Arabidopsis thaliana: one gene and its partner. The protein of the gene in region 2 interacts with the protein of the main gene of each other region in a pairwise test. Each region holds a gene or a part of one and is shown on either strand. Other genes may lie near its edges.

What was found. The genes of interacting proteins can lie anywhere in the genome.
Region 1: the proteins of CLC2 (region 2) and CHC1 interact in a protein complementation assay, tested with the Arabidopsis thaliana proteins (one study listed by BioGRID).

Annotation. Positions count from the first base shown.
Region 1 is NC_003076.8:4,567,898-4,574,095, reverse strand, and holds CHC1 (SWIB/MDM2 domain superfamily protein), read left to right. Parts: upstream 1-3,101; 5' UTR 3,102-3,222; intron 3,223-3,631; 5' UTR 3,632-3,651; coding exon 3,652-5,183; intron 5,184-5,327; coding exon 5,328-5,400; 3' UTR 5,401-5,616; downstream 5,617-6,198. Other genes in the region: MPL1 (Myzus persicae-induced lipase 1), read left to right, coding at 1-104, 1,178-1,318, 1,416-1,526, 1,630-1,773, 1,870-1,910, 1,997-2,076, 2,163-2,258, 2,332-2,654; AT5G14160 (F-box family protein), read right to left, coding at 5,629-6,198. UniProt on the Arabidopsis thaliana protein: Involved in transcriptional activation and repression of select genes by chromatin remodeling (alteration of DNA-nucleosome topology).
Region 2 is NC_003071.7:16,722,933-16,729,130, forward strand, and holds CLC2 (Clathrin light chain protein), read left to right. Parts: upstream 1-3,491; 5' UTR 3,492-3,631; coding exon 3,632-3,918; intron 3,919-4,266; coding exon 4,267-4,420; intron 4,421-4,733; coding exon 4,734-5,069; 3' UTR 5,070-5,275; downstream 5,276-6,198. Other genes in the region: NRPD1B (nuclear RNA polymerase D1B), read left to right, coding at 1-474; AT2G40050 (Cysteine/Histidine-rich C1 domain family protein), read right to left, coding at 987-2,816; AT2G40070 (flocculation FLO11-like protein), read right to left, coding at 5,446-5,709, 5,789-6,198.

The sequences.
Region 1 (6,198 bases), on a different chromosome or scaffold from region 2:
GGTACATATTGAATATGCAAAGGATACCGGAAGGACGAGCCGGAGCCGTCGCCGGAGATGGGGGAAAGAGACAACCTGTCCTAATACAACATGGAATTCTTGTCGTAAGTTTTACTCTTCCTTACCTTTTTGCATCGCCTTAACCGTCAATTAACTTGTGTATACACACGCATGCTACTTTTATGTGCAGATAATTATTGTGATAATATCAAACTTTGTTCCAACATGCATGAAATACATCCAAACTACAAAGTCTATTATTAAAAACATATATAGCTGTAATTAAACCACTGCATCGCACTCGGAATATCTGATTACTACATTGAAGCTGTTTTCCATTACATAAATTTTTGAAAGTAAGAAAAAGTGGAAAGTGACGTCAAGGGATAGTGAGAAAAACATTATTAGGAGAACATTTTATACCCGTTTTCAGAAGTTATACAAATGGAGAATATGTGCATATATTATTTCAAGATGATTTACATCTATAAATAGACATATACACGTGGGCCAAAACCAAACGTGTATACTTCCAGTGGATGCCTCATCAACAAGTATGTACATACATATATATATATATATATATATATATATATATATATATATATGTACATTTATCCTTATATCGTATGTGCGTGCGAGTTTGAAACTTACAAGTAAGATTAATTAGATTAATGTCTGTATCTTTTTTTGATAAAGAATGTGCATATGTGTTATCTTAGTGGTGGTAAAATTAAAACATTAAATAAAGAGACAGCATGAGTGTTAAACATGTGTGTCCAACAAATAAAGTGATAATTGGAGCGTTACTAGAAAGGTAATTAAAATAAACTCAAGTGATAAACAACTTTTCTGGTATGGAAGAATGATTGTACCGTACGTAAGTGATATTATATAAATAACCGTGTCGACTCTCGACTCTGGTACTCATCGAATTCTTAAAAATCATCGATAAAGTGCATAAGTACAAAACTTGATGAGATCAGTACTACTATTTTCATCAGCCTGCTAGAAAGAAAATACTTTATGACTTGCCTTATGTTTTAAGTTTTATGTGGACAGAGACGACAGTCGTACGTATGCAGAATTGTAATTTGTCTCTTTGACAACATGGTCCTTTAATTTCTTATAGTTTACATTACTATGATAGTCAAATAATCATGAGTTAAATGTGCAGGATGGGATGTCATGGCTGTTGAATCCAGCGGATCAAAATCTGCCGTTGATTTTGGCGGATCAAGGATTCGATGTGTGGATGGGGAACACAAGAGGGACTAGATTCAGCAGAAGACACAAGTACCTTAACCCTTCTCAACGGGTCTGGTTCAGTGAACCACTGTTTTAACCAGTAGATTACGTATATATCTTTACTAAGGAAACTGATATTTAACATCGTTGGCACGTTGTGGACTTAGGCTTTCTGGAACTGGACGTGGGACGAGCTTGTGAGTTACGATCTGCCTGCTATGTTTGACCATATCCATGGCCTAACAGGCCAAAAGATTCACTACCTCGGACACTCTTTGGTGGGTCCAACGTTATCAACATATTTTTTCTCTGATTTTTTTCTTTTTCTTATAGTAATATATCTTCTCATAATAGAATGAAAAATGAAATGGAAATTGTCAGGGGACGTTAATAGGATTTGCTTCGTTCTCAGAAAAAGGGTTGGTGGATCAAGTGAGATCGGCGGCGATGTTGAGTCCCGTTGCTTATCTCAGCCACATGACCACCGTCATCGGCGATATCGCCGCAAAAACCTTCCTCGCCGAGGTCCCTAGCTTCTCCCTTGTAATACCCTTTTTTATTCTTATACAAATATGTGCCTACAGTTATGAAAATAACTTGTTTATCGTCTTTCAAAAATAGGCCACCTCTATTCTTGGATGGCCAGAGTTTAACCCGAAAAGGTAAATCTTCACCCTTTTTTCTTAAAATATGCTTGTTATTATTGGCTTGATTTGATTACGTAAAATAGTTAAAACAACATTTGCAGTGGATTAGTAGGGGATTTTATAAAGGCTATATGCCTTAAAGCGGGGATCGACTGTTATGATTTAGTCTCTGTTATCACTGGTAACGCTACAACTAAAAAAGTCCACCAATCTACCATTGATGAATTAATTACATATATTAATTAACGTAATTTTACAAAAACATAGGAAAGAATTGCTGCCTTAACGCATCAACCATTGATCTGTTCCTTGCCAACGAACCTCAATCTACTTCCACCAAGAACATGATCCACCTTGCTCAAAGTAAGTGAAACAAATTCCCATTTTTTAAAAATTATTTTATAAACCTTAAATTGTTCAAATTATTTATTTGTAGCGGTAAGAGACAAGGAGTTGAGAAAATACAACTATGGAAGCAGTGATCGCAACATAAAACATTACGGTCAAGCGATACCACCGGCATACAACATATCGGCGATCCCACACGAGCTTCCGCTTTTTTTCAGCTACGGTGGTTTAGATAGCCTGGCTGATGTGAAAGACGTTGAGTTTCTCCTTGACCAGTTTAAGTATCACGACATCGATAAGATGAATGTGCAGTTTGTGAAAGACTATGCTCATGCTGATTTCATCATGGGTGTTACTGCCAAAGACGTTGTTTATAACCAAGTTGCTACCTTTTTCAAACGACAAGCTTGATAATATTATTACCTTGTCATTAGTTTATGTAATTGCATGTGCCCATATTCTTCAATTGTTTCCCTCTAAACAAAATGGGCAAAAATAAAATTAAAATTTTTATGAAAAAGTATACCAGTCTACTAGCTTCTAATTAAAATAATCCCAATATTTAATTTAGATTTTTTTTTTCTTTAATCTATAAACAATGGGGCAACCATTATCTAATTTACCCTAGTTTTAGGTATATTTAAGAAAGAACACTAAAACTACAGATTCGTATTTGACAAAAAAAAAAAAAGGAAACGAAAAACTATAGTAAAACAAAATTATGTGGAATGCTTTTCTTTTTAATTTTGTCGTCAAATTGTATGTGGATTTGTCGTTGAAAAAAAAACACATGGATTAAAGTTGGGCCAGTTTGATATAACTCAATGTGGGCTTTAAAAATACGGGTCGGGTCTTAACCCGGACAGTAAAATAGATAGCTCCGGTGGGCATTTGTTTTTGTTTTCTCTCTCGAGTCTCGACAACTGAGAAGCAACGGAACACCGGTGAATCCCGGAAAGAAGGTGAATCAAAAAAGCAGGTACCAAGCTGCGAATCTTCGTTTTTTTAAGGAATTCTCGATCTTTATGGTGTATAGGCTCTGGGTTTTCTGTTTTTTGTATCTCTTAGGATTTTGTAAATTCCAGATCTTTCTATGGCCACTTAGTAGTATATTTCAAAAATTCTCCAATCGAGTTCTTCATTCGCATTTTCAGTCATTTTCTCTTCGACGTTGTTTTTAAGCCTGGGTATTACTCCTATTTAGTTGAACTCTGCAGCAATCTTAGAAAATTAGGGTTTTGAGGTTTCGATTTCTCTAGGTAACCGATCTATTGCATTCATCTGAATTTCTGCATATATGTCTTAGATTTCTGATAAGCTTACGATACGTTAGGTGTAATTGAAGTTTATTTTTCAAGAGTGTTATTTTTTGTTTCTGAATTTTTCAGGCTGATAGGTTTATATAGCAATGTCTGGTAACAACAACAATCCACAAAAGCCTCAAGGCTCTGCGCCTTTGCCTTTTGGGAATCCTGGGATGGCCTCTGCATCTGTTCCTGGAAACCAAGGTTTTGCTCAGTCTCATATGGCAGCTAACTTTCAAGCTCAGTTTCAGTTCTCTCAAGCTCAGGCCCTAGCCCATGCTCAAGCACAGTCTAAAGTTCAAGCACAACTGCAAGCTCAGTTACAAGCTCAAGGCATGACGATGAACCAAGCACAAGGTTCTCCGGGGATTGGTGGCTTGGGTCCTTCTTCTCCTTCTTTGACGACTCCTGGAAGTTTAAACATGAAGAGATTCCAGCAGAAACCGCCGATGCGACCTCCTGGTGCTCCTGCGAGTAACAACACTATCTCCCCAATGAGAACAATGGAGTTAACTCCTGCTGCTCGGAAAAAGAAACAAAAGCTTCCAGAAAAGTCATTGCAGGAGCGGGTGGCTGCAATCTTGCCAGAGTCTGCCTTATACACACAACTTCTGGAGTTTGAGTCTCGGGTTGATGCTGCGTTAACTAGAAAGAAAGTTGACATCCAGGAAGCCCTTAAAAACCCTCCCTGCATACAGAAGACTCTTAGGATCTACGTTTTCAACTCGTTTGCTAACCAAAACAACACGATCCCTGGGAATCCTAATGCTGACCCGCCAACATGGACTCTTAAAATTATTGGTAGGATACTGGAAGATGGGGTGGATCCCGACCAGCCAGGGTTTGTTCAGAAAGCAAACCCATTGCATCCCAAATTCTCGTCTTTCTTCAAAAGGGTTACAGTTTCCCTGGATCAGAGGCTGTATCCTGAGAACCCATTGATCATATGGGAGAATGCTCGATCACCTGCTCCTCAGGAAGGCTTTGAGATAAAGAGGAAAGGGAATCAGGAGTTTGCTGCTAGTATACGGTTGGAGATGAACTACGTCCCTGAAAAGTTCAAGCTTTCTACTGCATTGATGGATGTTCTCGGGATTGAGGTTGAAACCCGCCCAAGAATCATCGCTGCAATTTGGCATTACGTTAAGGCGAGGAAACTGCAGAACCCAAATGACCCCTCTTTCTTCAACTGTGATGCTGCACTTCAGAAAGTTTTTGGAGAAGAAAAGTTGAAATTCACTATGGTCTCTCAGAAAATATCTCATCACTTGTCGCCTCCACCACCTATTCACTTAGAACACAAAATCAAGCTCTCAGGAAATAATCCGGCCGTATCAGCATGTTACGATGTGCTAGTGGATGTACCCTTCCCGATCCAAAGAGATCTGAACAATTTGCTAGCCAACGCAGAGAAGAACAAAGAGATTGAGGCTTGTGATGAAGCAATATGTGCAGCCATAAGGAAAATCCATGAGCATAGGAGGAGGCGGGCATTTTTCTTGGGGTTCAGCCAATCGCCAGTTGAATTCATAAACGCCCTGATCGAATCTCAGAGCAAGGATCTAAAGGTCGTTGCGGGAGAAGCCAGTCGAAATGCTGAGAGAGAACGTCGATCAGACTTCTTCAACCAACCTTGGTAAGCTAATCATCTAGACTCTGCTACTCTGGCCTTTATTCGCACAGATGATATGTATTAAGAGTTGTAAAATGTTTTTTTTTTTTTTTGGTCAAAGAGTTGTAAAATGTTTCTGAATCATAATTTGGGGTAAAATGTTTGCAGGGTCGAAGATGCAGTTATACGTTACTTGAACCGGAGGCCAGCAGCTGGGAACGATGGGCCAGGGAGTTGGTGAGTTTCTTGACGATACAAGTCTCTTCATCTGTTTGAGCATTTTTAGTAGAAGATATTGTTGAGATTAGTCTGGTTTAAAAGTGAACTAGTGTATCTGTAATCTTGTGTATGTTGAAACATTACTACTTTATATAATTAGCTTTGTTTTGTAGCCTTTGCGTTAATGGTTAAGTCATGTTTTTATTAGCAAAAGGAAAATAACATTGGCATTATTAAAAAAAAAAAACACTTAAAGTTGAACAAAAACGAAAATGTTTGGAAAGAGTATCATTGTGAAGTAAGAAGTGGGGAAGAGCCAGCGAGCATTAGAGAATGGTCTGGAGGAGATAGAAGAAGACGAAAGGCGTTGAACCTTCTGGGAGGAGAGATTGAAGACGAAGACATCCTTTTGGCTAGATGGAAGACCGCTGAAATAGGTGGAGTTTCTGGTAATACCTTGGATATCGGAGGATGCTTGCACGGTGATACCTAGATCCAAGATCACGGCCTGGTCGCCACGAAAAAGCCAGGAAAGGTCACGACGTTTAAGAACGCAGCCAACCATCAAAAAATCTCCAGAGATGGTGATTACTATGTTGGTCTTCCAGTCAAGATAGTCTGTCCAAATTGTATCATAAGGGCTAAAAGATCCCAAGCGGAAGCGAAAGGGATAGAGCTGAACATGAGCAGTTTTTGTTACAAACTTCAAATCCGAGATTCCGATGCTACCATCCTCATAGTAAATGTAAAGTTTGTGGTCCTTGAGGGCAATATCACTACACCCCAACAAAGGAGGAATCTGGCGCCATTCACAATCGCC
Region 2 (6,198 bases):
GACTTTTCATACCGAAAATCCCTCAACAACTATTTGATGAAGAAATACCCTGACCGTGCTGAAGAATTCATTGACAAGTACTTTACGAAACCTCGGCCTAGCGGAAACAGAGACAGGAACAACCAAGATGCCACACCACCTGGGGAAGAACAGTCTCAGCCTCCGAATCAGTCTATAGGTAATGGAGGTGACGACTTTCAGACACAGACTCAGTCTCAGTCTCCATCTCAGACTCGGGCTCAGTCTCCATCTCAGGCTCAGGCTCAGTCTCCATCTCAGACGCAGTCTCAGTCTCAGTCTCAGTCTCAGTCTCAGTCTCAGTCTCAGTCTCAGTCTCAGTCTCAGTCTCAGTCTCAGTCTCAGTCTCAGTCTCAGTCTCAGTCTCCATCCCAGACTCAGACTCAGTCTCCGTCTCAGACTCAGGCTCAGGCTCAGTCTCCATCATCTCAGTCTCCGTCCCAGACGCAGACATAAACTCTTGAGAACCAAAGAAGATTTGGTTCGTTTAGGTAAACCATTCAGTCTCCACTGTTTTGTTTTGATGTACATAAAGAGTGGAGAGAATGGCGGTTTTTATCATTAAAAGACTCTGATGTGAAGTGCAAAACAATGTGTAAATGCAGTTCTCTAGTTTCAGATCGTTTGTCCTAAAATCAGGTTTAGGGTTTCAGTGACCGGTTTAGTTATAAAGTCTAGCGGCATTGTAGTGATGTTTTGACATTGACTATTTATCGAGCAATGCATTTGCCATCTCATTTGCTTCTTGTTTGAAACCTTCGAGAGACGAAAATGATTGCCTTTCTAATCGCATAAGCACATGGTTAGAAATTATATCTTGTGTTGACCGATGCAGCTCCTCCGGCAGAAAATCATCTAATTCAAAGAGCTCTTGTGTAATTGCACGAATTGAGAAATCAGTTTAGTTTTATGAAATTGAAATCAATAATAGAGAAATTACATTTTATTCAGATGCATGGATACATTGTTTAAATACATTCATATGAACATTCAACACGGTAGCCTACATCATATATTTTCCCTATACAACGGTTCTTGCAAGAACCACATAATGGTCGAGAAATATTACATTTGGGAAGAACTTGAACCCTGCATACCCATTTATTGAAATATTGACCGGGCTTGATATATGGGTCTCCACCAATTAAGCATTCAATATGAAAAGTGGTGCAACACTCGTTGCACCAGTAGAATACTTTTGTGCATGTATCCTTTAAACTACGTTCACATATTTCACACCATTCTTGCTCACGTACTTCTTCACCAAATGAAATTGTGAGGAAGTGTGTGTCATGCTTATATTTTATTTTGTATGGTAAGGTAACACACTTAAAACATACAATGAAATTGCATTTGATGCAATTTAATTGTTTTAAACATTCTGTTTTGCATATATGACATATGGGTTTTATTTCTGGGTTTAAAGCTAGGAACAAGGGATCTTCATGACCTTTGTAATCAAACGGCTCAGAAATTAAAGCGCACCTTACATCAAGCTTGAAAAAGTTGCATACCTCCATCCTACAGTGATAGGCAAAGCCAATAGAACCACGATCACAAGCGTTGCAACGGAAGGTATTGTAAGTAAAGCTATTGATAACCTCCAATACAAGTGGGTGAGGATGTAAGGCATGTTGGATTCTACGGGGAGCCTTAGCACATGTTTCATGGAGGATGAAATCACACTCCATACAAACATATAAGTTACCTTCATAGATAGGAATGGCACACGCTTGACAAAGCATGTTTTCATCATAAACGTTGCTGACCTCGAGTCGGAGATGATGATTATGATGAAAATAAAGTATCACTCCTTCAGATATCACCTCGAACGGTCCATCATTTTCTGTTATATCGATTATCTCTGGTATACCTTCGAGTTCTTTTCCATCCCACACATCTTTCCCAAGAGCGCATATTGAATGAACAACATAATCGCTACACGTGTCACAAGTATATGCACCATAATCAACGTTAATACTTAAACGGCAAACTCCACAAAACCATTCTCTAGATGTAAGAGAAAAAGTGAACGAGATACGATGACGGTGACGTGATATCTTGATGATGTGTGGGGAATTCATACAGTCATTATGAGTTACAAAGTTACATCTGAAACAAACGTAGGTGGGATAAATTTTTCTCAACAAACCACAAACATTACAAGTCAAGGAAGTTTGTCTGGGGAAAAAAGTGAGAGGATGGATATGCTTTTTTGGTGGGTCTATAAGAAAAGGTATTGGCTTCATCGCACATATGGGATGCATAAAAGCCTGGCATGTGGTGCAATGATAAATCAACCAATGTGCTTTTCTTCCACAACATAAACACTCAATCTTACGAAAGTTATCATCATGAAAGAAAAGTTGGAGATAGTGCTCAGGGTGGTAAGGATGTTTGATTATAAGTGGAGATTGAATGCATTCTTTGTGTAATTTTATGCTACAATAGTTGCAGAAATAATAGTCGGTGCCGGAATTTGAGCCTTCGCATATGTAGCATCCACCATCAGCATCAAATTCTTTATTGTTGCACCAAAACAAAGGGAGTACATGATGATCATGAGAGGTCGTCGTTGTAGAAAGGACGTACTCGGGGGAAGAATTAAGCGGATAAGTGTCTGAATACGACTTGATTTTTCGACGTCGTGATCGAGGGCATAAGAAAAGAGGTTGAAGGTCACTGGAGGAGGTTACGGTCTGTGTTTGGGGTATGGGGCAATATTTCGGATGATGGTATACCAAAACAAGGTTACCATCCTTTTCCACCTCATAAAATCCTCCGACGCTAGAATCCATGAATGTGTTAAGTCTTTGTTTATTTTTGTTTTAGGCTTTTATAAAAAAATATTTGTCATACAAGATATCAAGTTGTTAACATTTTTCCTCTATAAATACGAAAATTTGATTCCAAAAGTTTTCTTCTACTCTTGATTATTAATATACTTAAACGTGAAAACATATGGTTGATTTTGTTCCTTTTCTCAGTAGTTGTGATGATAATGTTCTTCTTTACATGCAAATAAAGAATCAACTTTTCTTTGCACATAGTTTTGTTCATTTCTGATGTTCCATGACTTCAAGACTCTATATTAATCGTGCTCAATGATTGTGCCAATTCATTAGTAGTGTATAATTTGAGACTTTGTGAACTCAATCACGAAACACACAAAAAGAAAATGAAGGTTTATTCAAAAAAAAAAAAAAAATGAAGGTTTGAAATGGAAAATGAAACAATCGTACCAAAACCAAATTGCAAAACGTTTTAAACAAGAAAAGAAGAACACGTAGTTTCAATGATCCGGTTGAATTAGAAAGTAGAACAACCGAACCCACACTAAATTGCAAAACGTTTTGATTAAGATAAGAAGAACACGTATGGAACATTAATTGTAATCTAATGGATCGGTTGGAACCTAAACCATAACTAAACCGGAATACTCATGATGAATTGGAAGTATTTGGGCTCGAAAAAAGCCCATTAAGAAAAATGGAAATAAAAATAGTCACAAATCTCCGTTATTAATTTTTGCCATAAGCTTGAGAACACTTGAAAAGACAAGATTCGCGAGTTCTTCGTTCTGCCTTTTTTTTTTTTTTTGTGTGTTCGAGAGATGTCTGCCTTTGAAGACGATTCCTTCGTCATACTCAACGATGATGCGTCTGAGTCTGTTCCAGTCTCAGGCTCTTTTGACGCCACTGATTCTTTCTCAGCTTTCGACGGCTCACTCCAAGTCGAGGACTCCGTCGACGATGTTTTTGCAGCGCCGTCTTCTGACTACGGTGCTTACTCCAACGGTGACGGCATCTTCGGATCCAACGGGGATCACGACGGTCCTATCTTGCCACCACCGTCGGAGATGGAATCAGATGAGGGATTTGCTCTTAGAGAATGGAGAAGGTTAGATCTACTCAAAGTTTTGATCTTTGTTGCTTTTTGTTTACTTCTTCCTGAAGAAAATCGATAAAGTGGATAAATTTAGTTGAGAATCTCTTTGATAATCTGAGAATTTCAATTTTGAATTTTGATTCACAATTTTTGTGAATTGAAGTTATCTGCTAGTTAGTGTCCATTGTTCTCAGAAGTAATCAGTTTATTAGATTGGATCTGTTACTTTTGCTTAGAGTTTATTGCTCAAATCGTGTGTTCTAGAATAACATCTTGATCCGTAAGCTTGTAATGCTTGTTGAGTTGATTAAGATGTATAGATCTGATTTCGTGCTATGGCTTTATTATGTTTATGTGTAGACAAAATGCAATTCAACTTGAGGAGAAGGAGAAGAGAGAAAAGGAATTGTTGAAGCAAATTATTGAGGAAGCTGATCAATACAAAGAAGAGTTTCATAAGAAGATTGAAGTAACTTGTGAAAACAACAAAGCAGCTAACAGAGAGAAGGAAAAGGTTTGTTCTTTTGCTAAAAGATTTGAATTTTTTATCATCTTTTCTCAATCTGTGTTGTTGTCATGTGGTTTGTGGAGAATTGTCAATGCAAGTCAATGGCTTGTTGATATTAAAATTTTCAAACTTTGACCATCTTAGTCTTAAGTCAACTGTGATTGATTATCTTAATGCATTGTCAGTTTTGAGATTATCTTAATACATTGATTATCTTCATTACGTGTGTGATCTTTGATACCTTTTTATCTGCATATTGCATTGTTACAGTGTTGATTAAACTTTCACTTATGTGTTTATTTGTCTTTGAACACTTAAGCTGTATCTGGAGAACCAAGAGAAGTTCTACGCGGAATCCAGCAAGAATTACTGGAAGGCAATAGCAGAGCTAGTTCCTAAAGAAGTTCCAACAATAGAGAAAAGGAGAGGAAAAAAAGAGCAACAAGATCCTAAGAAGCCAACAGTCTCTGTGATTCAAGGTCCAAAGCCCGGTAAGCCAACCGATCTAACAAGAATGAGACAAATATTGGTGAAGCTCAAACACAACCCACCTTCTCACCTGAAACTCACTTCTCAACCTCCATCGGAGGAGGCGGCTGCTCCTCCAAAGAATGTTCCCGAAACCAAGCCCACTGAGGCAGTTACTGCTGCTTAAAAACCTCCTTTGTTTTCTTATTCGTTGCTTACATCTGTGTGAATTCAGTCTTTGCATTTCATTATGTGTTATAAACAGCTGAGAGATTTTATGGTTCATGTGTGTTATTAACATAATTATGTCATATTGGAATGATAACTTTTTATGTTTTAGTCAGTTACCATTGAATAGTGGTTAATATCTCAAATCAATCGGTTAAAGGATCCATCCATTTTAGGGTTAAAGTAGAGACGAGAGTGGAGAGGTTTACATAAAACATCAAAACGCTACTTCACATATCATCATTATCAAACTCGTGTGATAATTAAAACTCACAAACAATAAAAGAGAATCTCAAATGTGAACGTTTTACAAAAGGCTTTTCTTCTTTCTTCCTTCATCTCCCTTGTAAGCTTGCAGGGGACCTGCAACCTCTCTCGCTGCCTGCGTCGTCTTCCTTTTCACTTGCCTCTAAGCAAATGCCATTGTTGTTGCAGACACTGATCTCTGAGCTTGCGTTGCTGCTTGTTGCTAGTGGAGAAGAGTCTGAAACATTCATCGGTCTACCACGTGTATGTCCAGACCTCACACTGTACATTGATGATGCTGGAATATTCGTCATTAGTGGTCTCAGGTTCCCTGGAATAGTTCTACGTATATCCTGTTTTCATCAAAACGTTTGATCATCAGTTAAACGCAATTGCCACCACTTGAGGAAGAGAGAAGAGAGAGATACATACCATATGCCTTATTGCCATATCAAGGGACTTCTTGGAGAGCGTTCTTCCAAATCCTGCACTGTCGGGTGATGAAGACTTTGCAGACAAGTTACCATGAGGAGAACCCTTGTCATCTGATCTGGGTGGAGCAAGTTTCCGCATGTTTATTACTCTCTCCACCATTTTTGTTCCCATCATCACCGGACTAACATTGTCACTGGCTTTGGAATATCCACGATTAACCGCAGGAACAGAGCTACCACTAGAGTACATTGGTGCTCTTCCTCTTGATGGTGAACATGATTGCCTTCTTGGTCTTCCTCCTGGAGGGCCCCCTGGCTCAACTGAACCAGAACGAGAGCTTGGAGCTCCAGGTCTGCCTCTTGTCGCTGAAAGTGGCCTTTCGGGTAATGTTGTCCTTAGATTTGGAG